6 linked regions of the Ovis aries genome follow. The protein of the gene in region 1 purifies or fractionates together with the protein of each later gene. This does not show direct contact. Links are inferred from orthologs where the notes say so. Each region holds a gene or a part of one and is shown on either strand. Other genes may lie near its edges.

Region 1 (4,144 bases):
TCTGGCTAAGTGTTTCCTCGACCACAAGACGCTGTACTATGACACAGACCCTTTCCTCTTCTACGTCATGACAGAGTATGACTGCAAGGGCTTCCATATAGTGGGCTACTTCTCCAAGGTGAGCACTCCTGCAGGTGGTCCTTCAGTCCTGCCCTGAGCTGGGTCCCTCCCCTCACACTCACTCCAGCCCGGCTTTTCCAGGAAAAGGAGTCCACGGAAGACTACAACGTGGCCTGCATCCTGACCCTGCCCCCCTACCAGCGCCGGGGCTACGGAAAGCTGCTGATCGAGTTCAGTGAGTACTTGCGCTGCTGCTCGGGGGCCGGGGGCCAGGGTGGGAGCAGGCAGGCCCAGGCCCCTGGGCTGTACACACAGACGGATGGGGCTGCTGTGTTCCCAGCCCTGGCCTTGCAGTCCGGTCACCGGGGGAACTGGCCAGGAATAAAGGTGGGCCCCTCCCAAGGTTCTCTCCGTTCTGCGGTGACTCCCCTGTTCGTCTGCACTAGGCTCTCAGTCCCTCGTAGTTCCTTGGCCATGGTGCTGAGCACCACTCAGCTGTTCCCAAATCTGACTCATCAGCCCCTGCCCAGGGCCATGGGCAGAAGCTGAGTGAGCCACTCTTGATCAGCTGTCTGGGCCTGTGCAGTTGTACACGTTCCTGGGCAAGGACCTGTGGCTCATTTCTCCACTTGTCGCCTGAGCCTTGCAGACAGTGGATGTCACGTCAACATGACTCACAGGGGACCTGGCCTCTGCCCTTTGTCAAATGTGAACTCTGCATTGGCCTCCAAGGCCCCTTTCGCTGCCCAGCCTCCTCCCCTCATTCTGTTCACCTCACTGTTCACTGCACCCTTGGGATAACCAAGCTCTGACCTGGGAGATGAGGAGGGAGCCTTGGCTCCCTGATGAAGACGTGGAAGCCTGACTTGATCACAGGTCACCTTGAGAAGTTTTATTGGTAGAAAGATGCCAAGATGGGGTCACATCTTCAGGAAGCCCTCTGTCTGGCAGGGCAGGAGGATGCTTAGGAAACTCAGCTTAAGCCTTAGAGCTCAGACCCAGTGGAGATGGGATGTGTGCGGGGCCACCAAGGAGACGTGCTCACTGTGCCTGGCAGGAGCAGACAGGATACCAGAAGCACCAGTTCAGGCAGCTCCTGGGGGCAGGGGGTATTCACTGGGAGGGGCCAGGAGTCCCTGCCACTAAGGAGGCAAGCGTGGCCTCCAGTTGATTGGTCAGGACTCTGCACGCACACCTGCCCAGCAAAGCTGAGTGAGAACTCCAGTGTGCCCCTTCTCTCTTCCCTGCTTCCTGCCTCCAAAGCAGAGGCCTCTCTGTCCTCCCCACCAGGCTTTTTGGTGGAAGTCACAGGAGGTTGGGCAAGAGGGTCAGACTGGCTAATAAAGACGTATCAAGGGGAAAGCAGAAAGGCTACGCTCCAACACAAGGCTCGTGATGACTGAGGGTGAAGAAGGGCTTCTAGAAATAGTGGAGACATCTCAGGGCCCTGATGGGAAAAATGACTCTGTCCAACAGATGTGAAACTGCTCAGGGTTTTGCAGGGCTTGAGGGTCTCACCAGGAACTGCCTGCTCAGTGGTCACCCGCGTAGGAGGGCAGAGCAGTAGAATTGGGAGGGAGAGCGCCCTGGCAAAGGCAGTTACTGCTGAGGAATGGCCTCCTCTGACTGGGAAGTGCTTTGGCATCACTCCCCTTAATTCCTCCCAGCCACCCAGCCTGGTCTTAGAGCCGCTGATGGTTCTCTGTTCACAGCTGGGGGACTGTTATGACTGAGAATCTGAGCATCCTCAGGCCTGGACCAGAGGTGGGGCCTGGCCCACTTTTCTCCTCACATACCCAGTGTGGTAGGACCGAGGAAAACTGGAGGCACTTTCTTTCCACAAGCCATTCTCTGCACTTCCCCGTCCCACCTGTAAGCCCTTGCTGGCTCCTGGTTGACTGTAGCTTCAGCACACAGCTGAAGAGTAGGCGTGCTAGTCCTTTAGAGCAAACTAAGGCACTGAACAGACAAGCCACATACCCAGACCACAGAACCACCACGTGGCAGGCCCAAGACGGGGCCATGCAGTCTGCCCGATCGCCTGCGTTCTTAAGACACTAGTGGCATAATACTGTGATCGTTTATCCACCTCCTCCTGCTCCATTGCTTTAGGCTATGAACTCTCCAAAGTGGAAGGGAAAACGGGGACCCCTGAGAAGCCCCTCTCGGACCTTGGCCTCCTGTCCTACCGAAGCTACTGGTCCCAGACCATCCTGGAGATCTTGATGGGGTTGAAGTCAGAGAGCGGGGAGAGGCCACAGATCACCATCAAGTGAGCCTGGCCCTGCCTACCCCGGGGTGCATGGCATGACCTTCTGTTCCCGGGCTTTCTCAATCCTTGGGCTACTGGGGCCTGGGCAGAGATGGAGGCCCCCAGGGGACCTGATCTTTGCCCTCCCACAGTGAGATCAGTGAAATCACCAGCATCAAGAAGGAGGATGTCATATCCACTCTACAGTACCTCAACCTCATCAACTACTACAAGGTAGGGAGGCAGGCAGGGGGAGACAGGTGTGTGCAGGGATCCCGAGTACAGGCCCGCCTGAGCTGACCTGCCTGGCCCCATCTCCCGTCCAGGGCCAGTATATCCTCACCCTGTCGGAGGACATCGTGGATGGGCACGAACGGGCTATGCTCAAACGGCTTCTTCGGATCGACTCCAAGTGTCTGCACTTCACTCCCAAGGACTGGAGCAAGAGGGGAAAGTGGTGACCGGACGCTGCCCGGGGAATGCCAGCAAAGGCAGCAGAACTGAAGCTGGCAGCCATCTCGCCCCCAGCAGGGTCTCCAAGAGGCACACCAAGGGAGACAGGGCTGAGGACCACTCCAAAAGGAGAGGACGGGCCTGGTCAAGGCTAGCTGGTGCCCAGCACCAAGGCGAGCTCAGGGCTCATGGCAACTCCACGGTCAGCTGGCTGCAGGCCCAGGCCTGCTGTGAACCAGGGACCAGAGGGAGCCAGGCAGCTGTGTATATAGTAAGAGGGGTGGGTGGGGTGCCTTGTACAGAGGACTGACGGCTGTACAAATTTCTTTTGTAAAGTAGGAGCTGGGGTGTGGTGGGTACTGGTTGCAAAATTATGGCCTCTTCTGCCCCATTGCCCCCTGGCAATAAATTGTTCCTAGAGGTCAGAGCTATGGAAGGTTCTGTGGGAGAAGGGGCAGTGTTGGCAAACTCACAGGTTCTGTGAAAAGCTCCTTTATTGGGTGAAGGACTCTGGCTTCACACTGGGGTGAGGGGTTCGGTGGCTTTCAATGTCAAGCTCTGGTTCTCAGTCTTCGGGTACCTGTGCGTGAATCTGCAACAGGAATCACCTCTACTATTGGATTTCTGCAGTATAGTGACTGGGTGGCCCAGATATTCAGAATCATAGCCCTTCTAGAAGGCCAGAGAAGAGTGCTGGGGAAGCCATGCTGTCCCTACCCAGTCTAATCCTCCAGTCAGACTGGGTCTCCATCTGCCCCATTGTTCGCCCCAGCCCCAAATTCACTCAGGCTGGGGTGGGGCCGGGGGTGGGGGGGGGTGGGTTCGGTGTTAGATAAAGCCTGGGAGGGAGAGGGCCCATCCATCTACTCACCGCTGCAGCGAGGCTGGGCCAGCTTAGGGCCCCACGCAGTTTGGCATCCGGACCAGGGATAGATTCCAGGCCCCACACGGTGAAGCTGCTGAAGCTGGCTGTGGCTCCCATAAAGCGGTCCTGGGGGCCGGGAAGGGGCCCTGGCTCAGCATCCGGGCTGCGGTTCCCACCCGGGCTCCCTTCCAACCCTATCCCCCAGTGCTCACGCAGTCCCGCTCCAGCGCCTCGGGGGGTTCCTCCAGTTCCTGCTCTTCTCGCTCGTGGTCATCCTGCTTCACCACCAACACTTCTGCCTTCTCTTCTGTCATCACATATCCCACGAAGTCGGGCGGCACCACCACCTCCTCGCCACGTAGACTACGGCCCCTAAACGACGCTTCCAGTCCTGGAGGAGGCAGAAGCAGGGAGGGCCTCTGAGGGTCTGACCCAGGCCTAAGGGAGCAAGCCCGGTGGCGGTCCGCCCGCCGCCTCCGGTGGACCACGATCCCCAGGAGGCCTGGCGGCGTTCC
Region 2 (5,734 bases), on another chromosome or scaffold:
AAATCCCATGGACAGAGGAGCCTGGTAGGCTGCAGTCCATGGGGTCGCTAAGGGTCAGACACGACTGAGCGACTTCACTTTCACTTTTCATTTTCATGCATTGGAGAACGAAATGGCAACCCACTCCAGTGTTCTTGCCTGGAGAATCCCAGGGACGGGGGAGCCTGGTGGGCTGCCGTCTATGGGGTCGCACAGAGTCGGACATGACTGAAGTGACTTAGCAGCAGCAACACATTCTAAATAAGTTCCAGGTGGCCCAGTGTCCCACACTGGATCACCAATGCAGTAATCTGAAGCCCGACATCTGATTCATCACAACCCAGAGGCTAAAGGTGCAGGCACAGTGTTCAGATTCCTGAATCCGGCCTCAGTCTGGCTCCAGTTGTACTCATGTCTGTGGGACACAAAGAAATGAGCCAAATCACTGGGATTAGGCAAAGTCCTGGCAGCTGAGCATGGCATTTAGCTCCACCCTGACACTGGGCACAGAGGTCGGCTTAATACTCATGGGTAGAGACAGTCCCACACAAACCTGGTGAAGCAGACAAATGGGCAGTACCCAGGAGGCTTCATGTAAGAAAGATGTGGAGAAGGCAGTTTCCTTTTGCCCAGATCATCCAACCTGTCTTTCTGCATCGAGTCTGACTGAAGATACACATTCTAGGATCTGCCTGGAATGAAAGGAACCGGGTGTCTGTGGACCACAGCTGCTGGCTGAACACAGCTCAGCTACAGTGGCCACCAGAGAGAACGAAAACACAGCCCAGCACCCAGGTGACCCCAGGCAGGAGGAAGAGATTGCATGAGAGGCACAGATGGGCTGAGGCTGTCTTGTGGGCATCAGGGGTAGCTTCCTAGAGGAGGAGGCTCTCCAGATTGAAGAAGGCAGGAATTGGGTGGGGATAGAATGAGCAGAAGGTGGACCTGGTGGAGGAGCAGGGACCCTGAAGTGTCTGGGAAGTGTAGGGAGATTAATGATGAGGGCCACTGTCTGTTAGTGCTTTCTGTGTGACAGAGCCCGAGTGAAGTGGCTTTGGGCTGTGCTCCATTCCACCTCACAGCAAGCCCTGAGGGGAGCCCCACTTGTGGGTCAGAGAGAGGAAAGAAGCACAGGCCCAGCAAAGTCACAATGTCCCTCCACATCGTGGCTCCAGGACAGCCGGTGGCACTGGGTCACTGAAATCCTCCCTGGGCCACATGTCCCCACTCTGTGGGGACTGGCATCACCAGCAGCGCTCTTCACACAAGGGAGGACAAGACTGAGTCCCCACTGTTCCGGGGGTGAGGCTGGCCAGAGCGGTTCCGAATGCCGGCTAAGAAGCGCGAGCGTGTGCCCAGGGCACCCCAGGATAAGGCGCCGCCGTTAGTTGCACTGCAAGGAGGACACCTGCGGCCTGGAGAGGCTCAGCGTTTTGCCTGGCTCACACGGCTGGCAAGCCGCAGAGCCAGAAAGGGACCCGGAAGGCCGACCCTATGTCTACACCCAGGGGGAGACGAAGAGCAAGAGCGCTCCTCGCCTTGGGTAACCGCCCGGAGCACCGCGTGGGCGTGGCCTGACGGAGAAGGGCCGGGGAGAAGCCCTCGGGGGCGGGGATGGGGCGGGGCGGGGCGGGGAGGAGCCGGCGGTCTTGATTGGGCGCAGCTTTGAGCTTGTCACCTGACTGCCCAGGCCGGCCGCCCCATTGGCCCCGCCCCTCCCGACCAGGGTTAACCCCCAGGGCCCAATGCTGGTCACCCTGGAGGCCCCAGGCGGGAAGGCTGTACCCCGACGTCCCTGCCCCGGTGTGCAGGAGCCTCTCTGTGCAGCGCTCAGGCCAAGGGTCAGCTGGAGGCAGTGGAAGCCCTTGGAGCCCCCACTCGCAGGAACTGTAGGTCGCCTGTTCTTTTTCTTCTTTGCTTCTTACTGAGGTGCAGCTTGCAATCCCGCCATCGTAAGCGCAGAGTTCAGCGGGGTTTACCCCGAGCTGTGCAGCTACGGGCACAATCTAATTTAGGGCATTTCCATCCATCTACGCAAACCCACTCCTTCGCCTGATCCGCCTGCTCTGCCGGCGCTGCGCCGCGAGACCGTGCCGCCTGGGGGCGCGGCGACCCAGCGCTCAGCTGCGCCTGCGCCTGCGCCGCGGGAGAGTCCGAGAGCGAGCCCGTCGAGCGCGCGCCCACGCCGCGAGTGCGCCTGCGCGGAGCTCGTGGCCGTGCCCGCTCCCGCCCGGGGCTCGTCGCTGGGCGGCGGGGCCATGGGGGAGGCCGAGGTGGGCGGCGGCGGCGCGGCCGGCGACAAGGGCCCTGGGGAGGCTGCCACCAGCCCGGCCGAGGAGACGGTGGTGTGGAGCCCCGAGGTGGAGGTGTGCCTCTTCCACGCCATGCTGGGCCACAAGCCCGTCGGTGAGCAGAGCGCCGCGCCGGGGCGGCCCACCCGCGTGGGGGCGGGGCGGCCGGCAACGGTCGGGGACGCGCGCTGGGCGGGGCCTCCTGCGCTTGCACCCCGCCGACCGTGCCCTCACCTGCGCACCCTGCCCCCACCTGCGCACCCCATCCATGCTTCCTCCAGCAGTCCCCCACTCCTGCCCACGCTGCCCCCTTCTATACCCTACCCCCACCCGACTCTGCCCCCTTCCTGTGCCCAGCCACCCATCCCGGCTGACTCCAGCCCTCACGTGCACCCCCACCCCTGTGCCCTCGTTACACCTCCGCTGCACACCCCTGCCTTTTCCTCTCCCACCTCTCTCCGCTGCACCTCCTACCTCTTCCACCCTCCACCTTTGCCTCCCTACACCCTTGCAACCACTGCCCGCTCTCTCCCCCTTGCCCCCTACCTCTTCGCTACCCTACCAGCTGGCCTACCCCTCCCCCACAAGCCGACCCCTTCCTTCTGCAGGGGTGAACCGGCACTTCCACATGATCTGTATCCGAGACAAGTTCAGCCAGAACATCGGTCGGCAGGTCCCATCCAAGGTCATCTGGGACCACCTGAGCACCATGTATGACATGCAGGCACTGGTGAGCTGGACCCCCGCAGACAGAGCTGCTGGCAGGGAGCCCCCTCCACACCGCCTACCCTGCCTTTGTCCCCACCCCCCCCACCCCCCACCACCAACCACGTCCTACCTTGACATCCAGGATGTCCCACAGGTGACCAGTTGTTAAACAAGATAGCTCTGGGTAGTTTTATGAAAACACAAGCTTGGTGACAGTAGCTAGTTATTGCACTGAATCTACCTTAGATTTTGGGGGGGAGTCGAGGTTCAGTTAAGATCTTTCCAGGAGATAACTAGGGAGCTGAGGCCTGTGTGGGAGGGGGCTCTTAGGTTGTCAGTCCTGTGGAAAACTCCCGAGTGCTATAAGCAGGGAGGTGACCGGGTCTGAGTCACATTGAGATGAACATGGTGGTTTCTGTGAGAACTAGGCCAACCCTCAGGGAAGACCACCCTCAGGGAACCCCCAGATGCTGGGTCTGAGGGAGAGCAGGTCAACTTGGTAACCAGGACAGCAGAAAAGACAGGTGGGTGTTCCCTGCAGAGGAACAGCAGGAGTCAGGGCCCTGTGGCAGCAGGCGTCAGGACTCGGGGCTGCACCCGCACCCCACCCTGTGCCCCTCCCTCCTCCCTCCCTCCCACCCTGAGCTTCTAAGTGAAGCTCAGACCCTCTTGTGTCCTTAACCCTCACCACCACAAGTTCCCTGTTGGCCTTGGGAAAGTCGTTTGCATCTCCTTGTCCCAAGGCAGAGAAGGAAGAGAAATGACAGTACTGCTCTGACCCCGAGCCTGCAGTTAGCACCCAGGAACTCGAGGTCAAGCTGTTGAACTGAAGCAGGCCGCCCGAAGGGCTGTGCCCACCCGTTGGGGCACCACTCCCCCAGAATTCCAGTGTTCAGCAGCTTGGCAGGACCCCCCATGCTTGTCATGTTGGGGTGTCACCTGGCCCCCAGACGCTTCCTGCATCTCCACTCCAGGCTGGGGCCCAAAGCTGGACACAGAGACAAGTATGGGAGGGCCCCTGTCCTGAGGGGCCTTTGGTGCGGTAGACAGGACAGATGGCTCTCAAGTGCAGACGCTGGCTCAGAGGGTGCTGAGGCAGTGATGCCCCGTACAGGGTACGGTGATACTCTGCTGTGGGGGCCACCAGGGAGGCTCTCAGTCCAGGACAGGTGGCCCTTCCTTCCTCAGTTCCTTGGACCCCAGCACCGCTATAGAGCTGATGCCATGGTCACCTGGGACCTTGTAAATATGGGTCTGTGGATCTCACCCCACAGGATGACCGTGGGCCCAGGAGCTCTCGGGGTTTGTGAAGCTCCCAGCTGGCAGGTGGCACACTTACTCACTGACCACCTGGCTTGCAGCTCAGCTCCCAAGTTGGGGACTAGAAGCCCTGTCTCCTGAATCCCCTCCCAACCCAGAGACCCTTCCCACCAGCTCACCTTTCCCTTTGTCTGGTGGTGGTGTTTCTGGCTCTCTGTCCCTCCAGGCCTACGTGATCTGGGGAACAAGTGGAGCCTGGCGAGCATTCCTGGTGGCTCCTCCATTTTGCTTTGTTTGCCTGGTTTCCACGAGAGAGAACAAAGGCCTCAGGCCCCACGCCTGCCCACTGCAGCCCCTCGGGACAGCCATCTGTGCTCATTGGTCACTCCTGAGTTGGCTCTTACATCTCTAGTCACATTTTCTTTTAAATGTGATATTTAAAATCATATTTTCTTCTTTGCTTCTAAAAAAAAAAACACCCTTGTTTGTCATCAGCACGAGTCTGAGATTCTTCCGTTCCCAAATCCAGAGAGGAACTTCATCCTTCCAGAAGAAATCATTCAAGAAGTCCGAGAAGGTATGACTCGGGCAAGGGCAGATTTGGGAATGGGAAAAGGTGTCAGGGTGAAGGTCACGAGCCTCAGAGAGTGAGGGTCAGTAGTTGGGTGGTGCTCACCCTCCAGGATGGGGTGGTCTGGGGGCCTCCAGGACAGGGGCAGACACCTCCCAAGTCGTCAGCAGCCCTTGGCCTGAGCCACTGTGGTCAGACAGGGCCACGGCACTCAGCATTGCGGGCTCCAGGTCATCATTGGTCATCTCCCCACAGGAAAAGTAATCATCGAGGAGGAAATGAAAGAGGAAATGAAAGAAGATGTGGACCCCCACAACGGGGCTGATGATGGTAAGTGTGGAGCTTGCCCTCCCACCCTGGGGCCCCAGGGGCATGGACCCTAGCCCAGCGAGGCCTCCCCATCACTAGCAATGGGGTCATTCGTCTGTCTCAGCAGCTGAGAAGGCAGCTTCCATCTGCTCGGAGAGAGCCTCTCACACAGGGGAGTCACTCTCGGAGCCAACCCTGGGGGGTGGGGGTGCAGGAGGCTCCCTGACTAAAGTAGAATGGGTGGCAGCCTTCTCAGTGCAGGGTGAACCCCGAGAAGCAAAGATGGGCACAGCCATGCAGGCACCCCCAGCTAGGGAGGAGCCTTTTGGGGTCAATGTCATGTACATAGGTATAGATTTTTGTAACTGAACAGGAAGATGAAATAAAATTTTGGATATTCTGTTTTCAGCCAAATGATTTTGTCTCCCAGTTTTTTCATCTTCAGGAAGCTTGGGGAAAGCAACAGAAAAGTCCAGCAAAGACAAAGAAAAGAACAACTCAGACTTGGGGTCCAAAGAGGGGCCAGACAAGCGGAAGCGCAGCAGGGTCACCGACAAAGTCCTGACCGCCAACAGCAACCCCTCCAGCCCCAGCGCGGCCAAGCGGCGCCGGACGT
Region 3 (5,116 bases), on another chromosome or scaffold:
GAAAAAAAAAGGTGAGAATTTTAAAAGGTAGATGATACTTAGTGGGCACTAGGTTATAGAAGGCTTAACTGTAAGTTGGTGAAGTCTTCCACGGGGAAAACCAGAAAAAGCATAGAATACTTACGCTTATCAATGTGGCAAAAGTCAGAAGTAGAAAAATTGCTGTTGATTTAGTCAGGTAAGTCTCTGTTGTATACAGTCTGCTCGTGTGTTCGTCCTTTGTGTCTTGACTGGTTTTTTGACCCCATGGACTATAGCCTGCCAGGCCCCTCTGCCCATTGTATTCTCCAGGCAGGAATACTGGAGTGAGTTGCCATTTCCTTCTCCAAAGTCTGCTTCGGCACTCACAATATTCTTTGGCTCTTTGACAGATGGGTCAAATGTATAAAACTCTGCCCCAGAAAATTGGTATACCTTGGTTTTATTCTGCTAATTTAGACCTTTAAAGATACAGGCTTCAGAATTTGACTGCATTGTCATATCTACCTCTCATAGCATTGTGAGCATTTGAAAAGATAACTGATGAATGTAAAACTTAACACTTTTAACTGCTTAAACCAAACAACTGATGTTTACTCATTTTCGTTTGCGACCATTTGTAGTGAGGTCAGGGCTGAAAAGGAGGAAGTTGGAACATATAAGAAGTAAAATGTGAATATCGTAAAGGTAAGATTGCCAGTAGGACAGAAACAGGTACAGGGTACTTGAACTGAGAAATAGATTGTTCAGTTCTTCAGGGGGCCAGGGCAGAATGAACTGTTTTTTAATAAACCTGTAAAAGGGCAGGACAGCCATGTGCTGGGACCCCTTAGAAGACTGGCTCCTAGGATGTGATTTAGAGGAGATGGTCCTGTTAAAAATCACAAGATGTGGTGGTCTGCCAGCAGCTAGAATGCAGGTACTCAACTCCCTTCTCCAATCACTGACACACCATGTGGTTTTCATGGTGCAAAACATGGGTTATTCCAGAGTGAGAACTGGATCAAGATAGGGTCTTTAAAAAGCTTGGAAGTCATTTTGAAGAGAAACTTAATTACTCCAGATGAACTATGCAGTACTCAGCTTTTGTGAATCAGTCTGGGCTCTTAAGAGCCTTGACCTGGGAGAGTGTCACTCTGGCTTAGAGGAGAGAGGGGAAGGCTCCTCACCATGAGAGGTCAAATCTTACACTGCGAATGCTAATTTGGGAGGGCTTTGCAAAAGAAAGCTTAACAGTGCTTTAACTGTTAGGACTTTAACTGTTTAACACTTTAACATGATAGGACTCATAGAAAAATAGCTTCTGATTCAGAGGGTGGGTGGTGGCTGGATATTTCATCTCAACAAATCTCAAAGGAGTTGGTTAAGTAAGCCTCATTGAACATGGCTCTCTACAATTTTTTTTTTCATACTTACCTCATAGGGTTTGAAAATTACTTCATACCCAGATGAGGAAATTGAGGCATAGAGATAACACTCCCAATTTGCAAAGTTTGTGAGTGGCAGAACTAAGATTTCTACCCAGTACTGAGTGCTTCTATAGCTTGTTGTTGAGAAACTATATATAATAATAGCCTCTAGTAGTGATACTCGGAGAAGGCAGTGGCACCCCACTCCAGTACTCTTGCCTGGAAAATCCCATGGATGGAGGAGCCTGGTAGGCTGCAGTCCATGGGGTTACTAAGAGTCGGACATGACTGAGCAGCTTCACTTTCACTTTTCACTTTCATGCATTGGAGAAGGAAATGGCAACCCACTCCAGTGTTCTTGCCTGGAGAATCCCAGGGATGGGGGAGCCTGGAGGGCTGCCGTCTGTGGGATTGCAGAGTCAGACACGACTGAAGCGACTTAGCAGCAGTAGTGATACTCAGGTAAAAGGTTAGAACCTACGCTTGTCCAAACAGCACAATCATACTAAGTCTTAGGAAACTGGAAATAACCCATTTTTCTCCTATTACTGTATTTCAGATAATCAGTATCTGTTTTTACCACCAAACCGTTACATTTTCCATGGCGCTGAGGTGTATTCCGACTCTGAAGATGATGTCTTATCCTCTAGTTCTTGCGGCAGTAACACTGATAGTGGAACATGCCAGAGTCCAAGTTTAGAAGAACCCATGGAGGATGAAAGTGAGAATGAAGAATTTTACAATGGTTTGGAAGATGATGCTGATATTAATGAGAGAGCCGGAGGAACTGTATTTGAAGCTGATGGAGGTGATCAAGAGGCAGTTAATGAAGCTATATCCGTGAAACAGGAAGCAACATGCATTAACTATCCATCAAACAAATCATAATATAGTAATTGTCCAGGTACAGAAATTGTTCCACCAGCATTAGGATCTTTAGCATGTCAAATTGAATGTTTACTTGTGAACTCAATAGAGCAAGGAAACCAGAAAGGTATAATATTTATAGACTGGTAAAACAGATTTCCCCCCAATGGGTAATTTTTAACTTCTTATTTCTGTGCTTATACACTCAAACACTAACTTTTTTTTTTAAGGTACGTAAGTATCTTTAGTCAGCTATTGGACTAGACTTTGTTAAAGGTTCATTTGTATGATACATCGACATGTATATATAATTTTGTTTTTGCCTAGTGAGTTTCAACATTTCAGTCTTCAAAAAGCCATTGGAATGTTAAATTAATGTAAAGGGAACAGCTTATCTAGACCAAAGAATGGTATTTTCACACTTTTTGTTGTAACATTGAATGGTTTGAAATCCTCAAATCTGTTCTGCGAAACGTTTGATTCTTTATTAGCACAATTACCTATTTTTAAACACTGGCATTTTCCAAAACTTGTGGCAGCTAACTTTTTAAAAATCTCATGACATGCAATGTGAGAAGGAAGTCAACCATATGTGGGAGAGCACTCAGTTGTCTTTGCCTTTTTAAAATGAAACTTGGTGCTAACAGTTTCAGAAATGTATCGTTCAAATGAAGATGGCTTTTGTACTTCCTGTGGACATGTAGTAATGTCTATATTGGCTCATAAAACTAACTTAAAAAATAAATGCTTTGGAAATGTTTCAGTTGCTTTAGAAACAATAGTACCTGCCTGGGTCCCCTTAGTTTTGAGAATATTTGCCATTGTTGTTTAAACACCTGTCACTGTGGTAGAGCTTGCATTGATCCTTTCCACAAGTATTAAACTGCCAATGTCAATCTGCAAAGCCTTTATGAATCAATAATAATGGTACTTCAGCTGGGGAGAGTGTAATATTTGGGGCTGTTGCCTTTTTTGCCCATTAATGAGAGCAACAGACCCCGGTTACGGTTCCAAAGCCAGTAAGTACATGTTTCCTGTCGGGAGGACTTGGTGTTAAGAAACACCAAACATACTAGCCTAGTATTATGGAGATGAACGTGATGTAACTTGTAATAGCAGAATAGTTAATGAAACTAGTTCCTATAATGTCTTTATTTAAAAGCTTAGCCTGCCTTAAAACTAGAGAACAACTTTTTCAGCTGCAGAAGCTTCTAGCCTTTCAACAAAAGTTCATACTTTATAAAACTGCACAGTAATGATTAATTTTCCAGACCTTTCCCCAACATTGCTTTCAAAAAGTATTTTTATGTTGCTTTAGTATTTATTACAGTTTAACAAGAAAGGTTTGAAAAACAGCTGTTCTTAAGCTTAAAATATCCAGCTAGGACCATTACTGCCAGAGAAAAAGATTTTATTGAATGGCCATTTCCCTACCTAAAAGATGTTTCAATCTGAATTTGACTACACTAAAGAATGCAGTATATTTAGTTTTCCATTTGCATGATCTGTGTGTGTGCTATAGATGATATTTTAAATTGAAAAATTTGTTTTAAATTATTTTTACAGTGAAGACTGTTTCCAGCTCTTTTTATATTGTACATAGTCTTTTATGTAATCTACTGGCATATGTTTTGTAGACTGTTTAATGACTGGATATCTTCCTCAATCTTTTGAAATACAGAACCAGTGTTTTATACTTGTACACTGTTTTAAGTCTATTAAAATTGTCATTTGACTTTTTTTCTGTTAGCTTACACTGTTTAAGGTAAAAACTTTAAAAATTGTGCAGCTTTTGTACAGCTTTGAGGGCTATTAGATGCTACATTTTTTTTTTCAGTTTATATACAAGTTAGTACTAAAATAGTACTAAAAGTGCTGGTTGTAGTAACTGGTGAAAGTGAAGTCAGTCGTGTCCAACTGTTTGCGACCCCATGGACTGTAGCCTATCAGGCTCCTCCGTCCATGGGATTTTCTAGGCAAGAGTGCTGGAGTGGATTGCCATTTCCTTCTCCAGGGTATCTTCCTGACCCAGGAATCAAACCTGGGTCTCCTGCATTGCAGGCAGACGCTTTACCATCTGAGCCACCAGGGAAGCTCCTGTAGTAACTGTACATCACCAAAATGTCCTGTTCTAGACCAGGAGCCTTCCCCCTCTCACTAACCCTGCCTAAGAATAACTGGGAAAGGTTGAAGGCAAGAGGACGAGGAGGCAGCAAAGGACGAGATCTGAGCAAGCAGCAGAACCTGAGCAAGGTCCGGGAGATACTGGAGGACAGAGAGGAGCCTGGCATGCTGAAGTCCATGGGGTTGCAGAGTTGGATATGACATGAGCCTGAGTGAACTTCGGGAGTTGGTGATGGACAGGGAGGCCTGGCATGCTGCAATTCATGGGGTCGCAAAGAGTTGGACACGACTGAGCGACTGAACTGAACTAGCGACTAAAAGAATAGCTAATTTTTGACATGAAACACTTGACAAAGGACCAGGACTTTGGATTAGGGAGATGAGGTAATGGCGGGACTGTAGCGAACTCAAGACCAAAAGGAGCAGACGAAAAATGACTTGATCATATTTGGTGTGGCCTTTCTTAGGCTACCCAGAAATCTAGTATTCAGGAGGGTAGAAACGTGCCCCTTTACAGAGATGTAATGAATAAATGTGGCCATTTCCTGCCTTCGGGTCTCTTTGAAGGGAATGAAACAATCCAAAAAACTCTCTGCCCCTGTATATCTTGTTTGCACTAGAAAAAATACCTGTGAAATTCCATATATGCACAAAATAGGAAAGTAGTTCTTAATGAGGGTGTCATTTCGAATAATTGAATACCTAGCAAAACCTGACTTAAAGCCATGGATTCAATG
Region 4 (5,116 bases), on another chromosome or scaffold:
GTGGGGTAAAGAAAAATTAGGGAAGCTACTTATTTGGGCCTCAAGAGAGCAGGAAATGAGTAAGAAGGGGCAGAAGTGCATAGTGCAAGAGAAACATTTAGTGAAGAGGAGGACAACTTTAAAAGGTTCTGGTGCACTTTTTCTTCAGCTGCTGTTATTTATCTTTAGAACTTGTATTTCTTTCATTCTTATTAGACTTTAAGCCTTTTGAGGATAGGGGACATGTGTAATACTTTTTACAGAGAGCAATACTGAAATATTCAAGTATTTTGTACTTTAATATTTGCTCTTGGTTATGTTCACTTTTTTTCAATCATAAGGTGCAGCTGCTCCCTGGTTACAGAATATTTTGCTTAAAACTGTGCTTTAGATTTTTGTCTTTTGTAACATACTTTACTGAAGGGGGAAAGTGATATATTTCCTTTGGATAAGATTAAAGTGTGATTTATTATTAATAGTATCTTTTAATATTCAGTATGCACTACCTTAATGAGATTTAGTTTAAGTAATGTTTTATAGGTAATGAGTAATTTTCAAATACAAGAAACTACACAAAAGAAAAAAGTAAAACTTTGTATCTTCCTCAAGTTTTATTTTCTCTTTTATAATCCTCCGATATGAAACCTGGCTTTCTTTGGGTTCAGATTTCTAATGTCACACTGCTTTATTAAGTCAAGTATGGAAAGCTTGCTTAAATGCAGTCTGTCTGAACATATAGAATGAGGAGTGGCAGTGGTCTATTTTTAAACAGATAGTTCCACACTTAATAGAAAGTAAGAATTCTGTGGCTGTTTGATTGAACAAAATATTTTTATTAACAGTAACTTTTATATGCACATGATGCTGGTAATTATAACTGAACCTTCTCTAGTTATTAGTTTGAACTTTTACCTGTGAGTTAGTTCAAGTTACTTTTGACACTTCAAAGTAAGAATTTATAATGAAACTCAGACCTTTTACTAGTAGATCTCTTTTCTACTCTGCAGTGAGGTTTTACTACGTTCAGCATGGTAATTCCATTCCTTGAGATCCTTTATATTCTGTAATCTATTTTACATCTGAGTTTTTAAAGTGAAGCTTTGCTTGTCATTGTGAATCTTTACATTGTAGTGTATTGAACTGTCCAGCCCACTATTAAAAGGCTGAATGGATGAATAGCAGCTCAGTTTGGCTGTTTTTAGATAACCTTGATTTAACAGAACTGTTTCTCTCTGTCATTGAGAAAGACCTTGTAACAATAAGAAAAAATTACATTTTTTGATAATAGTAGTTTTTGTTTCAGGCAGACTTTAAAAATTTTATTTATATTGGAATTATCCCATCTATGTCATTCCATCTTTTCAATAGCTGGCAACTTTTTTTCCTGCATATTTATTGAGATATTTGCTTTTTTGTTTTTAGTTAAATGGCTTGTCTTAATGTAATTGCTATTTAGATGTGTGTGTGTGTGTGTGTGTAAGTGTAACATTTTGCTTTTATAGAATGAATTTGGGTCTGATAAGATTTTGATGAATGAAGCTGGAAATCTGGACAGTTGGATTTATTCTTTTAAACTTATTTTGAATAGAATCGAAAGAATGATGAAGCCTCTTATGAAAAGATGTTGAAACTGAGACGAGAATTTAGTAGAGCCATAACAATTTTGGAAATGATTAAGAGAAGAGAGAAAACAAAACGAGAATTATTGCACTTAACCTTAGAAGTTGTGGAAAAAAGGTAACATTGCTGTTCTTACATACCAGTAACGCTTCAGTCAAATGAAAGGCAAAATGTAACCAAATTTCAGCTTTATAACTACTGAGATTGATTATCTAACAATGTCTACATTTTTTGAAAATTGTGATTGCTGGTTTTTGCTTTTTGTTTTTAAACCATTAAGTTGCCAGTTTGGGTTGCAAATTTGGGAGATATTTTTGTGAATAGTATAGATCCTCTGTTACACTTAATTTCTTGTTGTTGCAGAATCATTTAATTGTATTTAGAAAAGAACTTGGAGATCGTATAGTCCCATTCTCTGTATTAAAGTTTCTATTAAAATTTGAGAGAAATAAAGTTTAATTGATTTTATTTTTTGATTAGTTAGGAAATACTTGTTTTGGTGCATTTTGAAAATGTATTCACCAATGTAATAATCCTTTTCCTGAAAATACGAAATATATGAAGAGTCCATCTTCTGTGTATCTTAGAGATTAGGAGAGGGAGTTGTTTTGTTTTTACTAAATCCCAAATATGAGCTTCTTTATTCCCATGCGTTTTCTCTCTTAAGAATAATCCGATTAATTGTTGGCTCTGTTTGATTAGTTGTGTTCCAAGTAAATGATATATCATTGGTTTTCTATTTCTTTTTTATTTTTGAACGGTAAGATTTTCTTATATATTATTTCCTTTTCAAGATATCATTTAGGAGACTATGGTGGTGAAATCCTTAATGAAGTGAAGATCAGTAGATCAGAAAAAGAATTATATACCACTCCAGGAACTCTTCATAATGGAAATCATCACAAAGTCCAAGAATGTAAAACTAAGGTGAGTATCTTCTGGGGAGAAGCATGTATGATAATATTGACTGGACAATTGGTTTCTGAAATTATCTTATAATAGTTTGGTTAAGAAGGAAGATTACTAACATTTTTGAGTTCCTACTTTTTGCACTTTGCTAGGATTTTTTATATGCATATTGATTAATCTTACAACATCCCTTTGAGGTAGATTTTTTACCTCTGTGTGACTTTTAGATCATATAGTTATTAAGTGGCAGATTTAAGATTTTGAGTCTAGGTCTTAAAACAAAAACCATGTGTTTTCAACTATGCTATCTTGTATCCCTACAGAATAATGGTAATTATAGCTTAGTTATTATCACTGCCTTAGCAAATCCTGCATTGTGATGGCAGGCATCAAAATTAAACCTGTCTTCATTAAGACTATTCAAAGTTACTGTCCTCACTATTGCCATAACCAGCATTTATCAGTTGCTGCTTATCTTGACTTGAAAAAGTCCTATAACTTCTAGAACTCAGTTTTTTCCTAATAAAGAGACTAGTGATTAGTTTCTTAGCCTGAAGAGTCACATTTATTCATTATTCACTTGGTATATAAAAGCATTCAGTTGAGAAATGCAAAAAGTAATAAAACCTTTGAAGAGCTTAGATTTTTAAAAAGAAACATGTTATTGGCTGAGTTTTTAGACAGTAGAGCTCTACTGTGTAGCAGGATTTTAAAAATGGCTTAGGGTGTTTGTGGAAAATTCATCTTTTAAAAATGTGCACAATCCTCATTTTTCATGGGTTCTTTCTTAAAGGTCAAGGAAGAATGTGGAGTAGGGAGACTCCTCCATTATTCAACTGTGTCAATTCAAACACCAAAGTTCTTTCTTATTAATCACAGGCATCTAGCCCACCTACCCTTTAAATCACACTTACTTTGCCATAAACCAGACAATAAATGTCATTTTGTACATTACTTTTTAAAATCCAGTTCTAAATCAATGCTTTTCCTAGGTATATTATTGATAGGCAGAGAATATGAAAATCTCAACCCCAAATTAGTGCAGAATCAGCCTTTGTTATATGTTGATTCTTAATCTTAGATCACTCTAAAATTAAACACCCACACTATTTAAATACTAATTTTAGAAATATGATTGCATTTCACATAGTTAACTATATTTCATTTGTCACACATCCTTCTTGAAAATATAAGTAATTTCTGAGAAGTTGGGGATTTCTTTTTGATGTCATAGCCATGCCCATTGTATGAAAGCATTTATATCTCAATAACTCAGTGTTTCAGCAATGTTTTCATTATGTATAACATTTTTGACCCTAAAGTAGTTTTAATGAAAATCTGAGCTACTTGAAAAAATGTAAAACTTCCTAAATACTTTGACACTTTGTTAGCGCTTGTAATTTGATGCTTAGAACAGTAATTTTCAAACTTTTTAAAGTAGATTCTTATTTATTAAAAGGAATGCCAGTATATTAAAACAGAAACAGCTGCTCTCTTGAGGATAGCTGGGTTCTAAACTCCACCCATCTCTGCCAGAGATGTCTCTGCCAGACAGCCTCTTGTATGCCACCAAAGAACTCTAGGGTACTTGAAGACAGTTTGATTATTGTTCAGCTGAGGTGGTAATTAATTCTAAAAAGTGAACTTTTCTGTCTCAGAAAAGTTATTCCACTTGTAGATATTTTTTAAAATTGGAAATAAGCATAGAAATGAATTAATGTATTTATAATCTAATTCAAGTCATTTTAGAAGTAAAAATAGTTAATTTTCATCATTAATCAGTAGACTTAAATAAAATTAAAATAGAATTTAAATACATTTTAAATACTGGATTGCATAATAATAGAGGAATTTTAAAAAATCACTAATATCTTAGTTTAAAGTATTGCTAACAATATAAAGTAAATTTAAATGTCATAATATTTTTCACTATAATTTGTGAAAGCAAAGCACTTTTTGGCTTATCATCAAATAGTAGTTTCTGCATATTAAAACCAGAAAATAAATTACCTCCTGGGTAAAAATGTATGTTTTTTCAAAGAGCAGTATAGTTTTTTATGATTTCTAAAATTATTTTCATTTCTTCCTTTTGGGGGAAAAATCATCATGTAAACAGCACCCGCATCATTTGTCTTTGAAAGAAGAGGCTTCTGATGTGGTTCGTCAAAAGAAGAAGTACCCAAAGAAGCCTAAAGCAGAGGCTGTGCTAACATCTCAGCAGCCCACTCCTGAGACCTTGCCTGTGATCAATAAGAGTGACCTTAAGCAATATGACTTTCACAGCTCAGAGGAAGATGAATTTCCACAGGTGCTTGTTTTAAAACTATTTTACAGACATTTTCTTCTAGTCTTTTATATTGCTCTATTTTAAAACATAATATCTTAGAATTTTGATTCTTGCTTTCTTCACCTAATGTTATAACATAAACGTTTTCCGCATTATTTATGTAGTTACTGAAATGGTTTTTGCTTTGTTATTTTCTATCAGTTGAATATATTTTATTTATTTTGTATAGCATTTAGGTGGTTTTAAGCTCTCCCTTTTATAAAAATGAGCATCTCTACCTCGTCCCTCCATATTTGAAATAGATGATTAGAAACAGAATTC
Region 5 (5,116 bases), on another chromosome or scaffold:
ATTTGAGACTTGCTGCTCTTAAGATCATTTTGGGAGGAATTAAAGTTTTGGTTCCTGTGAGTTTGTGTTACTGTTTCGTTCTTCATCAAGCAACTAAAAGAACTTTCATTTCCTACATCACCTTAAGGTCATCATCTTAGTTTCCCTGCTTCATTTATCTTGATTTCTCCCCGTATAGTACTCCTGAAGGATTGGACAGTATTGCTTAATTTGAACACCTGGGAAGCACTCTGCTCATATGAACTAATTGTACAAGATGTATTTTCTCTTCCTTTAATAAATAATATTGGTATATGAAACCTTTGCCAGATGCCAGCATTTCCTTCATTGGATTGTGCTTGCTTTAATAGCTACAGTTTTGCAGAGTCATGCCCTGTGCCTGATGGGTACGGTAGATAATGAGTTTATTTCATTTCCTTGGTGACGGTCCTCTTTGAGGATCATTGAAGTTGTACTAGAGGTGTAGATGTTCTGAATGAGAGGCCTGATAAATGCGTTCTCATTTCAGAAGAATGGTAATTTAAAAGTGCTGCTTTTTGCGAGGTTGAAGAGTATTTTTAAGAATACCTTAAAAGTAGCATCTATATAAAAATATTGAATCGCTCTTCTATATACCTGAAACTACTATAGTATTGTAAATCAACTATGCTTCAATTTTAAAAAGAAAGAAAATTTTAAAATGTTCATCGTCTGTTGGGTTCTCTGCTGACTGACCTTCCGAGGTCTGACCATATTGTAGATTTCTAAACTTTGATTCTTCTTTTGGTTTATTTTAGAAGTTCCAGTCATGTTGCTGCAAAAATTCCTTTAGTGTTTATTAAATCTTAAGTTTTAGAACCTGCATAATAGCACCCTTTTTTCATTTCTGTTGCTAATGTGAACCTTGTGGTTTGGCTTTCAGATCGGTAACAGATAGGCAGCCCTCTGAAGTGTACATGAAGTGGTGGAAACATTCCCAGCTTCTCAAAGACAGTGATTTTAGTTTTCAGGAGCCTATAATGGCCCTACGCACAGTCATTTTGGAGATCTTGATGGAAAAGGAAATGGAAAACTCCCAAAGAGAGTGTTTGAAGGACATTCTCACCAAGCATCTCGTAGAACTCTCTGTATTAGCCCGAACTTTCAAGAACACACAGGTAATCAGATTTAAAACTATGTCATCTCACTCGTTGACCTTGCCTTTTTATTACCTAGAAAATAGAAAGCATAAGTAAAAAGAAATGTCATTGAGAGACAGATTGCTATTATAACATTGTATAGCATAGTTGTTTAAGATTTCTCCTTTTGGAATTAGACCTGAATTTGAGTCTTGCACAAGTCTTTCTCTAATCCTCAATTTCCTGGTTAAATAATGAGGAGCTACCTAACTTTCTATATGTATAACATTTCAGTGATTGTATATACTGTGTATAAACACACACATAATTATATGTGTCTCTATGTAAAGAGAAAAACAGATAGGCAGATATGGGGGCTAGGGAAGGCAGAGATGCACTTACAAGACAATCTTAAAAATTGTCAAGTCCTTACTGCTTTTATCAGTAGTAGTAGAAGTAGTAGTAGTAATAGTAAAAATGTTTATTTCCATTTTTTATTTTCATTTCAGCTCCCTGAAAGGGCAATATTTCAAATTAAACAGTATAATTCAGCTAGTAGTGGAGTCTCTGAGTGGCAACTGGAGGAGGCACAAGTATTCTGGGCAAAAAAGGAACAGAGTCTTGCCCTGAGTATTCTCAAGCAAATGATCAAGAAGCTGGATGCCAGTTGTACAGAGGTTCACTTTTTTTCTATTGGTTGAATTAGTTTTTACTGTAATAAGAAAGATTACTGTGCTTTATAATATTTTAAATAAAATTTAATATAATTACTAATTTTATTAAAGATTTGAAATTACTGATCCATGAACAAGAAATTATAAAAAGGAGTCTTGAAAATTAGTATTTGTAAAAGTTTAGACAGTATTCAGTTTTCCTATTTACAACATTTCTATCAGTCCATCTCATCATAGATTAATTCATCCCAATTATAAGCCTTATTTTTTTAAAACTTTCTACAGTAATCAAGGAGGGTGTGTGGGAAACAAAGATGAAATAGACACTATAGATCTGAAATGACAAAAAGTGCAAGAGGAAATGCATAAGAGAATAAAACTTTTTTTAAAAGGCAAGTTGAAATAATTAGGTGGTCAATTCAAAGACCCTGAAAACATCACATCTGATATTTTATCTACCATTACCTATAATGTACATATATATTTTATATTAGTTGTTATAAACTTGATTGCTTCTTCAACTCTGTCTCCAGCATATGATGGACAAATTTAGCAGCATTTGTAGGAATCATGAAGTATTTTAAAGGTTTGGACTCAGTGATATCCCTCTGACATATACCTACTAGGTGAATATCAACATTTTGTACTTTTGGATAATGGAAACTTGTAGAACATCCTCCTTTATTAGAGAATGTATCATTATACCAAGCCCTGGGAGCTCACATGGTATGATTTTTTAAATATTGCTTAACAGTATGGACCCTGAAAACTAAGATCATGGCATCCAGTCCCATCACTTCATAGCAAATAGATGGGAAAACAGGAGAAACAGTGTCTGTCTTTGTGTTTTGGGGCTCCAAAATCACTGCAAATGGTTTTGGCAGCTATGAAATTAAAAGACCCTGCTCCTTGGAAGAAAAGCTATGACAAACTTAGCATATTAAAAAGCAGAGACTTTACTTTGCCAACAAAGGTCCATCTAGTCAAAGCTATGGATTTTCCAGTAGTCATGTATGGATGTGAGAGTTGGACTGTAAAGAAAGCTGAGGGCCGAAGAATTGATCCTTTTGAACTGTGGTGTTGGAGAAGACTCTTGAGAGTCCCTTGGACTGCAAGGAGATCTATCCAGTCCATCCTAAAGGAGATCAATCCTGAGTGTTCATTGGAGGGACTGATGTTGAAGCTGAAACTCCAATCCTTTGGCCACCTGATGTGAAGAGTTGACTCATTGGAAAAGACCCTGATACTGGGAAAGATTGAAGGCAGGAGGAGAAGGGAATGACAGAGGATGAGATAGTTGAATGGCATCACCGACTCAATGGATAGGATGTTGAGTAAACTCCAGGAGTTGGTGATGGACAGGGAGGCCTGGCGTGCTGCAGTCCATAGGGTCGCAAAGAGTTGGACACAGCTAAGCAACTGAACTGAACTGATGGACCCTGAAGTTACCTACCCTCTTTGTACTTCAGTTGTAGTTTTCTAATTAAGGATAATAATTGTTCTTATTTCATAGGATTCTTGTGAGGATTAACTGAATTATTATATATTATTTTATATAGTAATAATGCCAATCATATAAAAGTACTCAATATATGTGAGTTGTTTCAATAATAGTAATAATAGTACTAGTAGTAGAGAATGATTATTTTATAAAGGTAAATATTTGGAATTATTAAAATAGTTGTAAGTTGAAAGCAAATGATGAAAGACATTTTTAACCTGTTTTTTTCCTACATGGAAGATATTTTTGTACAGTCATGATAATGAATTACATTTTAAGACTTTGCTTTCCTTTACAGAATGATCCCAACTTAAAACTTATATACACAGAATGTCTAAGAGTTTGTGGCACTTGGTTAGCAGAAACTTGCTTAGAAAATCCTGCAGTCATCATGCAGACCTATCTAGAAAAGGTAAGGTTTTTGAGGAACCCTAATAGAATCGCTTAGCATAAATACATTTGATCTTTTCATAGAAGTGAAATGAAGTGAAAGTTGCTCAGTGGTGTCCAAGTCTTAACAACTCCATGGATTGTAGCCTGCTAGGCTCCTGTGTCCGTGGGATTCTCCAGGCAAGAATACTGGAGTGGGTTGCCATGCCCTCCTCCACGGGATCTTCTCAACCCAGTGCTTCTACCACCTTTGAGCTTCCTGTTTCTCCCTCTTATTCATATAGTTTAATTTTTAAAATAGCTACTTTACTAATAAATGAACATGAAAAGCCTAATATGTTTTTTTAGTTTTATAGAGCTTTATGTTTTTGTACCATTCTTTACACATATTAGCTATTTGTTGTTTCTGCTCTGTCAAAATTGTTTTGAAAACTCAAAGTACTGTATTTTGTATAATTTAGCTTATATACATATATATATGTTAAATTTTACTGTGGATATTTCTTTGATCTGAGTAATTCTTTAGATGCATTTAGTATCTGTAAATATAAATGGATTGTTTTTTTCTTGAAGGCTGTGGAAGTTGCTGAAAATTATGATGGAGAAAGCAATGATGGCCTGAGAAATGGAAAAATGAAGGCATTTCTCTCATTAGCACGGTTCTCAGATACTCAATACCAAAGAATTGAAAACTACATGAAATCCTCAGAATTTGAAAATAAGCAAGCTCTTCTGAAAAGAGCCAAGGAGGAAGTTGGCCTACTTAGGGAACATAAAATCCAGACCAACAGGTAACTGAGGGTCTACAAGTAACAAGATATACAGTATTTATACAGGTATACAGAACCAGATAGGAATTCATGCTGTGGCTCTATACTAATTGTGAAATATACTGGTGTTAACTTTTTGTTTTGCTTTTTTAGTTTGTTTGTTGGTATCATAGTTGAAAAAGAGATATGTGTTGAAATTAGAGAGGAGTTACTTAGTTTGATGTAATTAAATACTTTTTTCAAACCTGCTTTTATATATATTTTAGTGTAAGTAGAAAATAAAGTTAATGAAATACCTTGCATAGAGTCTACTTTGGTTGCCTAAAATAGCTTTTGAATTGCAGAAACTTAAAGACAAAAGTAAGTTTATTCTCTTTATAATTCTTAGAATGTTGCTTTTTCTCCAAAGATGGACACCTGATTTTTCATTTATATTTTATATCTTATTTGATTTTGTAGTTCTATAAAATTTAACAGCTTTTGTGTTTTATTTTAATTATCCAATGTAAGATACACAGTAAAGGTTCAGCGAGAGCTAGAGTTGGATGAATGTGCACTCCGTGCATTGAAAGAGGATCGTAAACGTTTCTTATGTAAAGCAGTTGAAAATTACATCAATTGCTTATTAAGTGGTGAAGGGCATGATATGTGGATATTTCGTCTTTGTTCTCTCTGGCTTGAAAA
Region 6 (5,741 bases), on another chromosome or scaffold:
AGACTAGGGAGAATTCGGTCAGTTGAGGACCGGGCTGCCAGTCCCTGGGCACCGCTTCCGGCACAGCTGTTCAGGAACCCAGTAGGGTGTCCTTTGACCCTAATTCCCGTTTCATTGCCTTATTTCATTCATACTCTTTCTGACTCAGTGCCATTAAACTGTCTCTTAGTACATCCCAAGAAGTACAAACACTTAATTTGTAGTTTGCACTTATTCTGGTGAAAACCAAAACGCTACTAACCATGACCAAAACAGGACAGGAATCAGCTCTTTGGCAATGTATTACCTCATATAGGTAAACTTGGTATACCTAATTTTAATCATCACCCTTGTGAAATAATTGCCATGCTGGTATCCTCAGTGGAGGCAAAGGGCCCACCTTTTGCTTGGTATTAAGAAGTTGCCAGAAAGTGTCAAAATGATCCACTTAACCTAATTACAAAGTAACTACTTTCACACGTTGTTCACTAAAGATATTGTCTGCCATAGCAGCAAACATGGTAACTCAGGACTTTAAAAAATCTTGATTCTCTGTTAAATGTGAATAGTATGTTCCCCAAAGATGTTACCATATACTGAACAATTTAATGCAAGTAAACTTCAAAAGAGCGTGTAGCACACTGCAAACATTATCAGTCTAAACTGAAAAGTTTAGACTGTGTAGGCAGCTGCATATAGGACCTTCCTACCTGGCCTCTGCTCCCCAACCCCACCCAAGTCCCCACAGTGCGCTGGTGTAGTGCTTGCTGCTATCACAAACAGCAAACAAAGCTGATGAACTCAGATGGTTAAACTTAGCCTAAAAAACATCAACTTGTGCTGAAGTTTTAAAATCTTTTAATAGTTCATTACAATGTATTTAAAAAAAAAAAACTTGGGCCTTTTAACTTTGTTGATCTACAGACAGAATTAACAGTAATTTCAAGGGAAGAAATGTGCTTAAGTTATTGCTAGCTAAGATACCTATTCAAAACAAAGCTGTTCCTACTATAATCAAGCAAATTTTATACACAACTAGTTTGGGATATGACCTTTATTGAGCTTATCCACCAGAGTGGAAATAATGTCTGTACAAAACCAAATGTTTGTTACTATAACTTCTGCATCACAATTAAAATCCAAACAGTTTTTTAAAAACAGTCAACTCAATCAAAACCCACTACTTCAGAATCAATAGCTTCTTTGAAGCCACAGTAACACTTAAATATGGTTAAGACTCAAATGCAGAAATTTGGTTGGTTGGAAAGCTAATTAAACTTCCAACTTTCTCAAATAGAATTACAAAAAGGCAAAATTGTGTTTTTCACAGAGATACAGTCCACTGGAATCACCAACACTGGACAGCTGTTAGAGTATTTAGAGTCCTGAGATAATAAGGAATCCAGGCATCCTTTAGACAGTCTTCTGTTGTCCTTTCTTTCCAATCAGAGATTTGTGGATGTGTGGAATGACACCTAGAAAAGGGATAAAATAACATACTACTTTAAAACCAAGAGTTTAATGTTCAACTTGGAAGATGTCTTTCAATGTAAGCGCAGAGTAAAAATTCAGAAGTACGTAAGAGAAATCAAATTTCATGATGCAACCATACTACAGATCAATGAAAATATACTGTGTCCTCTTTTAGACTGAAAATTACTAGAGGGAAATTTAAAAGCAAATTCTTTTCTCTAGAGAAATTTATAAGTTAATATTTACATACCACCACCAGCAATTGTAGCCTTGATGAGAGAGTCCAATTCTTCATCTCCACGAATAGCAAGTTGCAAATGACGAGGGGTAATACGCTTTACCTTCAAGTCTTTCGATGCATTTCCTGCCAATTCAAGTACCTAGAAGGCAAAATGCGATCAATCTCCTTCCAACTTTCATTAACGTCAAGATCCAGACAAGAATCAAACCTTCATGATGAAGGTATATCTACCAACTGTCATCTCCCCCACTACCTGAATGGCAAGATAAGCAAAAGCCATAAAGAGGGCACGCAATTTTATTTCCTAAGGCCGCAAAGTCAAGCTCAGGAGGATCCCCATCATGATCACCAGCCCCCTCTAGCGTTGTCGGAAGCTTCTCGCTGCGTACAGAGCCTGGGAGTTTTCTTGCATCACTTTCCTCCTTCCCTCTCGCCGCCTCCCCCCACCCCCTCCCAACCTTTTCCAGATTATAGGCGTACACCCATTTACCTCTGCGGTGAGGTACTCCAGGATGGCTGCGCTGTACACAGCGGCAGTCGCGCCCACACGTCCATGGCTAGTCGTCCTAGATTTGAGGTGTCGATGAATACGGCCCACTGGGAACTTCGTTTTTAGCATACACAAACATAAATGCACAAAGATAGACGAGCCAAAGATAATTAATTATACGCGCGCCAAAGGCAGGGTCATGGACGCCGGTGCAGCAACGCGCCCCACCACAGACACACGTGATCGCCCCCCCCCGATATTTATTGCATCGGTAAACCAAGTCGCGACACTATCACCCACGCAAAGACGAAACGCTCATCTAGAGCGATGATAAACAAGAGAGGAAAAGGAAAGAAAAACGCCACGATTCCCAGAATGCACGAACAACCACTGACCTGCAAACCGGCTCTCTGCGAGCGGGAAACCGCCTTTGTCTTGGCCTTTCCGGAGTCCTTCCCAGCCTTACCGCCAGCCTGCGGCGCGCACACGCCCGCGAGCGAAGGAGGAACGCAGAATATAGGATTACCAGAGCAGCGCGCCCTTCCCCCACCGCGCCGCGGCTCGGGCGCGAGCGCGGCCCCGTGCCCAGCCGGGGTCTCCGGCCCGCGGCGCGCCGCAAGGGCGACCCCGCCCGCCCGTCCCCCGCCGCGCGCTCGGCGCGGCCGCGCGCCTCGGTCCGCCTGCTCGCCGCCCGCCGGCCCCCAGCGGCGCTGCGCGCGCCACCCAACCGTCACCGCCCGCCGCGAGATCCGAGGCTGCTCCGCTCGCCGCCGACAAAACACCTCCCCTTGCTCTTCCAAATCCTGTCTCCGCGCGTTCCCAACCGTCGCCGCTTCACCCCCATCTCCGTGTGTAACGGGTTTTTCTCCCGCCGGCAAAAACCCGCGGAGTCTTCGAGCGTCTCCACCAAGTTTACCATTTCGAATTCTGCTGAAGCTCAAACAAGCAAAGCAGAGAAAGGACTAGTCAGACACCCAGCGAGAACCAGCCGCCTACTCCTTCGTCGCACCGCGATTCAAACTGCGCTGTCTCCCGCCTTCCCCGCTCCCTTTATACTGCAGAATGTTCCCTCATCCGGGAACTCGGATTGCTCATCCCACCAATGGCTGCCCCCCGCCCTCGGGACGCGTCCTTGAAGCTTCAGCCAATGAGAAAGCGAAGAAAAGGGCGGAGGGGCGGGCGCTTCACAGCTCGAATCCCTATTGGAGCATGCGGAAGGAGGGGGGGAGGGCGGAGGGATTGGAACTGGGGAGAAGAAGGGCACAGCGGCGGGAGGGAAGAAACAGAGCGAGCTATGCTGCGGGAGCTAGGCGAGCCCCCCCCAACCCCGCCCCGGCTGTGGTCACGTGTCCGAGAGGCGGAGTTGAGAGGCTCAGGGGAGGGGCACGCAGTATCGCGCACCCTACCATCACCCGTTCGCCTTCGTCTCCTAGCCTGATTCCAGAGACCACGTGAAGTCTCCGCGGGGTCTAGCGCGCCCCACTTCCTGCCCTCCCCTTCCAAATGAGCGCCTCGAAGGCAGAGACCCAGCAGTCCACAGCCTTCTCCCGAGGCCCGGGGTACTCTTTTCCCTGGTACCCTCAGCATCGCCCAGCTTTTTCAGTCTGACAGGTGGCGCGAACGCGTCCGGTGAGAGGAGCCCCAATTCCTTCCCTGACCACAGTCTTGATAGTGATTTCAGTCTTCTAACCCCCCTGGGCGAGTCTCGAGCCACCGACTGATCATGATCCACTGCTCCCACGTCATTTTCAGTTCTAACTCCCTCGTCTTTCCTCACCATTTTTGAATGCCTTAACCACCCCCTCCACCCCAGTGGGATACTTTCACGGGAAAAACGGTGATGAAAGCCCCCTTGCTGGTCAGAAAAGACACTTCAGTCTACCCCTAGAGGGCTTGGAGTGAGACGATATTCTTCAATCAAATCATAACCCGTGTCTTTCTGGAGATTACACATCAATGGGTTGTACCTATAGCCTGGTGTCTAAAGTTGATTTAATGAAACCTCAAAGCTATTCTGTATCAACTTTTCTATGCTAAACAGTTTGCTACATGACAAATGTTCTGTAAATGTCAGTGGGGTAACTTCTAACGTGATTCAAGGACAGTTACAGATGGTCCATGTAATCAGTTGCAAATGATGGGCTTAAAAAATAGTACTGTACACACAGCACTATCATAATGCCAGCTACATAGTCGTCCAACTAATAGATTAATAACACCTGTGTACATGTCCAGCTGCTTGAAGACAGTAATGATCTGTCTTTTATATTTATAGCATTTAATAGTGTATTACATATTAAATATATTTCTGATGTCCAAAAGTTTTAATATATGTATTCTCAAGTACTGTAGTTTGAGTTTCAGTTTGAAAGATTTTATCCAATTAGAGGACCCTTCCATAGCTGGTAGATAAGTAAGTTCCAGTGAAGGAGTTCCCAACAATTTGACAGAGAGTTTTGTTATTTTCTTCCCCTTACAAATGAGAAATTTTTACATTGTAATCAGTAGCAAGAGTTAATCAGTTCTCCCACTGAATTGTTACAATGACATTTAAAAACTGTGAAACCTGATGTAATAGTTACTCTGAGCTCTGCTGAGGCTTCCTGATATGTACTTTAGAAACCGACATTAATACCTTTTCCAGTTTGGATAATATGTACTCTTTCCTATGAGATCCAGCTAAAGGAATTCACTGTTGCCTCACTGAACCGTGCTTAAGAGAATGTGCTCTGGAGCAAGAAGACGAGAACTCTGCTCTGCTTCCTTCTCAGTGTGTCATCTTAGTTACTTTTTGGAGCTTCAAGTTTCTCTTCGATGAAAAGAGTACAGTAACGCCTATTCTCAGGTAGTTGTTGAAAGAGTAAAGGAGAGGTATGCAATGTATGCTCCAACGTGTGTTTGTCACATAGCAGCAGATGATAATGATGGTGTCCTCTGCATTGGATGTGGGGAAGGATGAAATAAAGTATCTTTGATTCCTAAATCTTTTCCTCTGTCTACCACACCGTCTTCCTTGGACATGAAAGTAAAAAGCCGCAATGCAAGCCTGAAACCCACCTAGGCCCCCTGCATTGGGAGAGCAGAGTCTTAGCCACTGGGCTGCCAGGGAAGTCCCCACTTTAATTTTAGATTGCCTATCACTTGCTGAAATGGATCTTAACTGTTACAGTAAGGCAACAACCTAAATCTTGGGGAAAGAAAGCACACTTTACTCTGCAGCACTGAGAAACCCATCACTATTTCTGAGAAGGGGAGAATACAGTGTTCCTCAATTTGAAGGTACTAATTTAGCATGGAGTAAAAGCCAAATCATAAAAGAGAAAATTTTTGTGAGAAGACTGATGTATGTCATAAAGCTGATGTATGTCATTTAGGTATGAACCCTAAAACCATGTAACACTGAAACCAAGACAAGGATGTAAAATCTTGAAGGAAGACTGAGTAATATTTACTAACTCGGTGTGGCATTTAAGAAAGCGTAGGAAGGATAAAGTGTAAATGAGAAAGGGCATACAAGAAGATCCTCAGGTTTTTTAGATTGATGGTTCAGGATATGAA

Evidence for each region.
Region 2: the proteins of KAT5 (region 1) and MRGBP purify together in Homo sapiens (co-immunoprecipitation; 8 studies listed by BioGRID and IntAct, counting the BioPlex papers as one, with this or other methods). This does not show direct contact. The link is inferred for Ovis aries from reciprocal best matches to the Homo sapiens genes KAT5 and MRGBP.
Region 3: the proteins of KAT5 (region 1) and SIRT1 purify together in Homo sapiens (affinity purification with western blotting; 3 studies listed by BioGRID). This does not show direct contact. The link is inferred for Ovis aries from reciprocal best matches to the Homo sapiens genes KAT5 and SIRT1.
Region 4: the proteins of KAT5 (region 1) and EPC2 purify together in Homo sapiens (affinity purification with mass spectrometry; 3 studies listed by BioGRID and IntAct, counting the BioPlex papers as one, with this or other methods). This does not show direct contact. The link is inferred for Ovis aries from reciprocal best matches to the Homo sapiens genes KAT5 and EPC2.
Region 5: the proteins of KAT5 (region 1) and ATM purify together in Homo sapiens (affinity purification with western blotting; 3 studies listed by BioGRID). This does not show direct contact. The link is inferred for Ovis aries from reciprocal best matches to the Homo sapiens genes KAT5 and ATM.
Region 6: the proteins of KAT5 (region 1) and H2AZ1 purify together in Homo sapiens (affinity purification with mass spectrometry; 6 studies listed by BioGRID and IntAct, with this or other methods). This does not show direct contact. The link is inferred for Ovis aries from reciprocal best matches to the Homo sapiens genes KAT5 and H2AZ1.

The regions. Positions count from the first base shown.
Region 1 is NC_056074.1:40,323,716-40,327,859, forward strand, and holds the end of KAT5 (histone acetyltransferase KAT5), read left to right. Parts: coding exon 1-118; intron 119-201; coding exon 202-295; intron 296-2,172; coding exon 2,173-2,332; intron 2,333-2,463; coding exon 2,464-2,545; intron 2,546-2,637; coding exon 2,638-2,772; 3' UTR 2,773-3,189; downstream 3,190-4,144. Other genes in the region: RNASEH2C (ribonuclease H2 subunit C), read right to left, coding at 3,549-3,755, 3,842-4,020. UniProt on the Homo sapiens protein: Catalytic subunit of the NuA4 histone acetyltransferase complex, a multiprotein complex involved in transcriptional activation of select genes principally by acetylation of nucleosomal histones H2A and H4.
Region 2 is NC_056066.1:54,280,857-54,286,590, reverse strand, and holds the start of MRGBP (MRG/MORF4L-binding protein), read left to right. Parts: upstream 1-2,083; 5' UTR 2,084-2,237; coding exon 2,238-2,385; intron 2,386-2,878; coding exon 2,879-3,000; intron 3,001-4,733; coding exon 4,734-4,815; intron 4,816-5,064; coding exon 5,065-5,139; intron 5,140-5,548; coding exon 5,549-5,734.
Region 3 is NC_056078.1:23,657,664-23,662,779, forward strand, and holds part of SIRT1 (NAD-dependent protein deacetylase sirtuin-1), read left to right. Parts: intron 1-1,947; coding exon 1,948-2,276; 3' UTR 2,277-5,116. UniProt on the Homo sapiens protein: NAD-dependent protein deacetylase that links transcriptional regulation directly to intracellular energetics and participates in the coordination of several separated cellular functions such as cell cycle, response to DNA damage, metabolism, apoptosis and autophagy.
Region 4 is NC_056055.1:160,798,156-160,803,271, reverse strand, and holds part of EPC2 (enhancer of polycomb homolog 2), read left to right. Parts: intron 1-1,567; coding exon 1,568-1,716; intron 1,717-2,393; coding exon 2,394-2,526; intron 2,527-4,624; coding exon 4,625-4,816; intron 4,817-5,116. UniProt on the Homo sapiens protein: May play a role in transcription or DNA repair.
Region 5 is NC_056068.1:17,632,980-17,638,095, forward strand, and holds part of ATM (serine-protein kinase ATM), read left to right. Parts: intron 1-901; coding exon 902-1,136; intron 1,137-1,606; coding exon 1,607-1,774; intron 1,775-3,570; coding exon 3,571-3,684; intron 3,685-4,235; coding exon 4,236-4,453; intron 4,454-4,942; coding exon 4,943-5,116.
Region 6 is NC_056059.1:25,066,407-25,072,147, reverse strand, and holds H2AZ1 (histone H2A.Z), read right to left. Parts: upstream 3,207-5,741; 5' UTR 3,103-3,206; coding exon 3,100-3,102; intron 2,657-3,099; coding exon 2,579-2,656; intron 2,298-2,578; coding exon 2,184-2,297; intron 1,833-2,183; coding exon 1,703-1,832; intron 1,455-1,702; coding exon 1,393-1,454; 3' UTR 1,022-1,392; downstream 1-1,021. UniProt on the Homo sapiens protein: Variant histone H2A which replaces conventional H2A in a subset of nucleosomes. Nucleosomes wrap and compact DNA into chromatin, limiting DNA accessibility to the cellular machineries which require DNA as a template.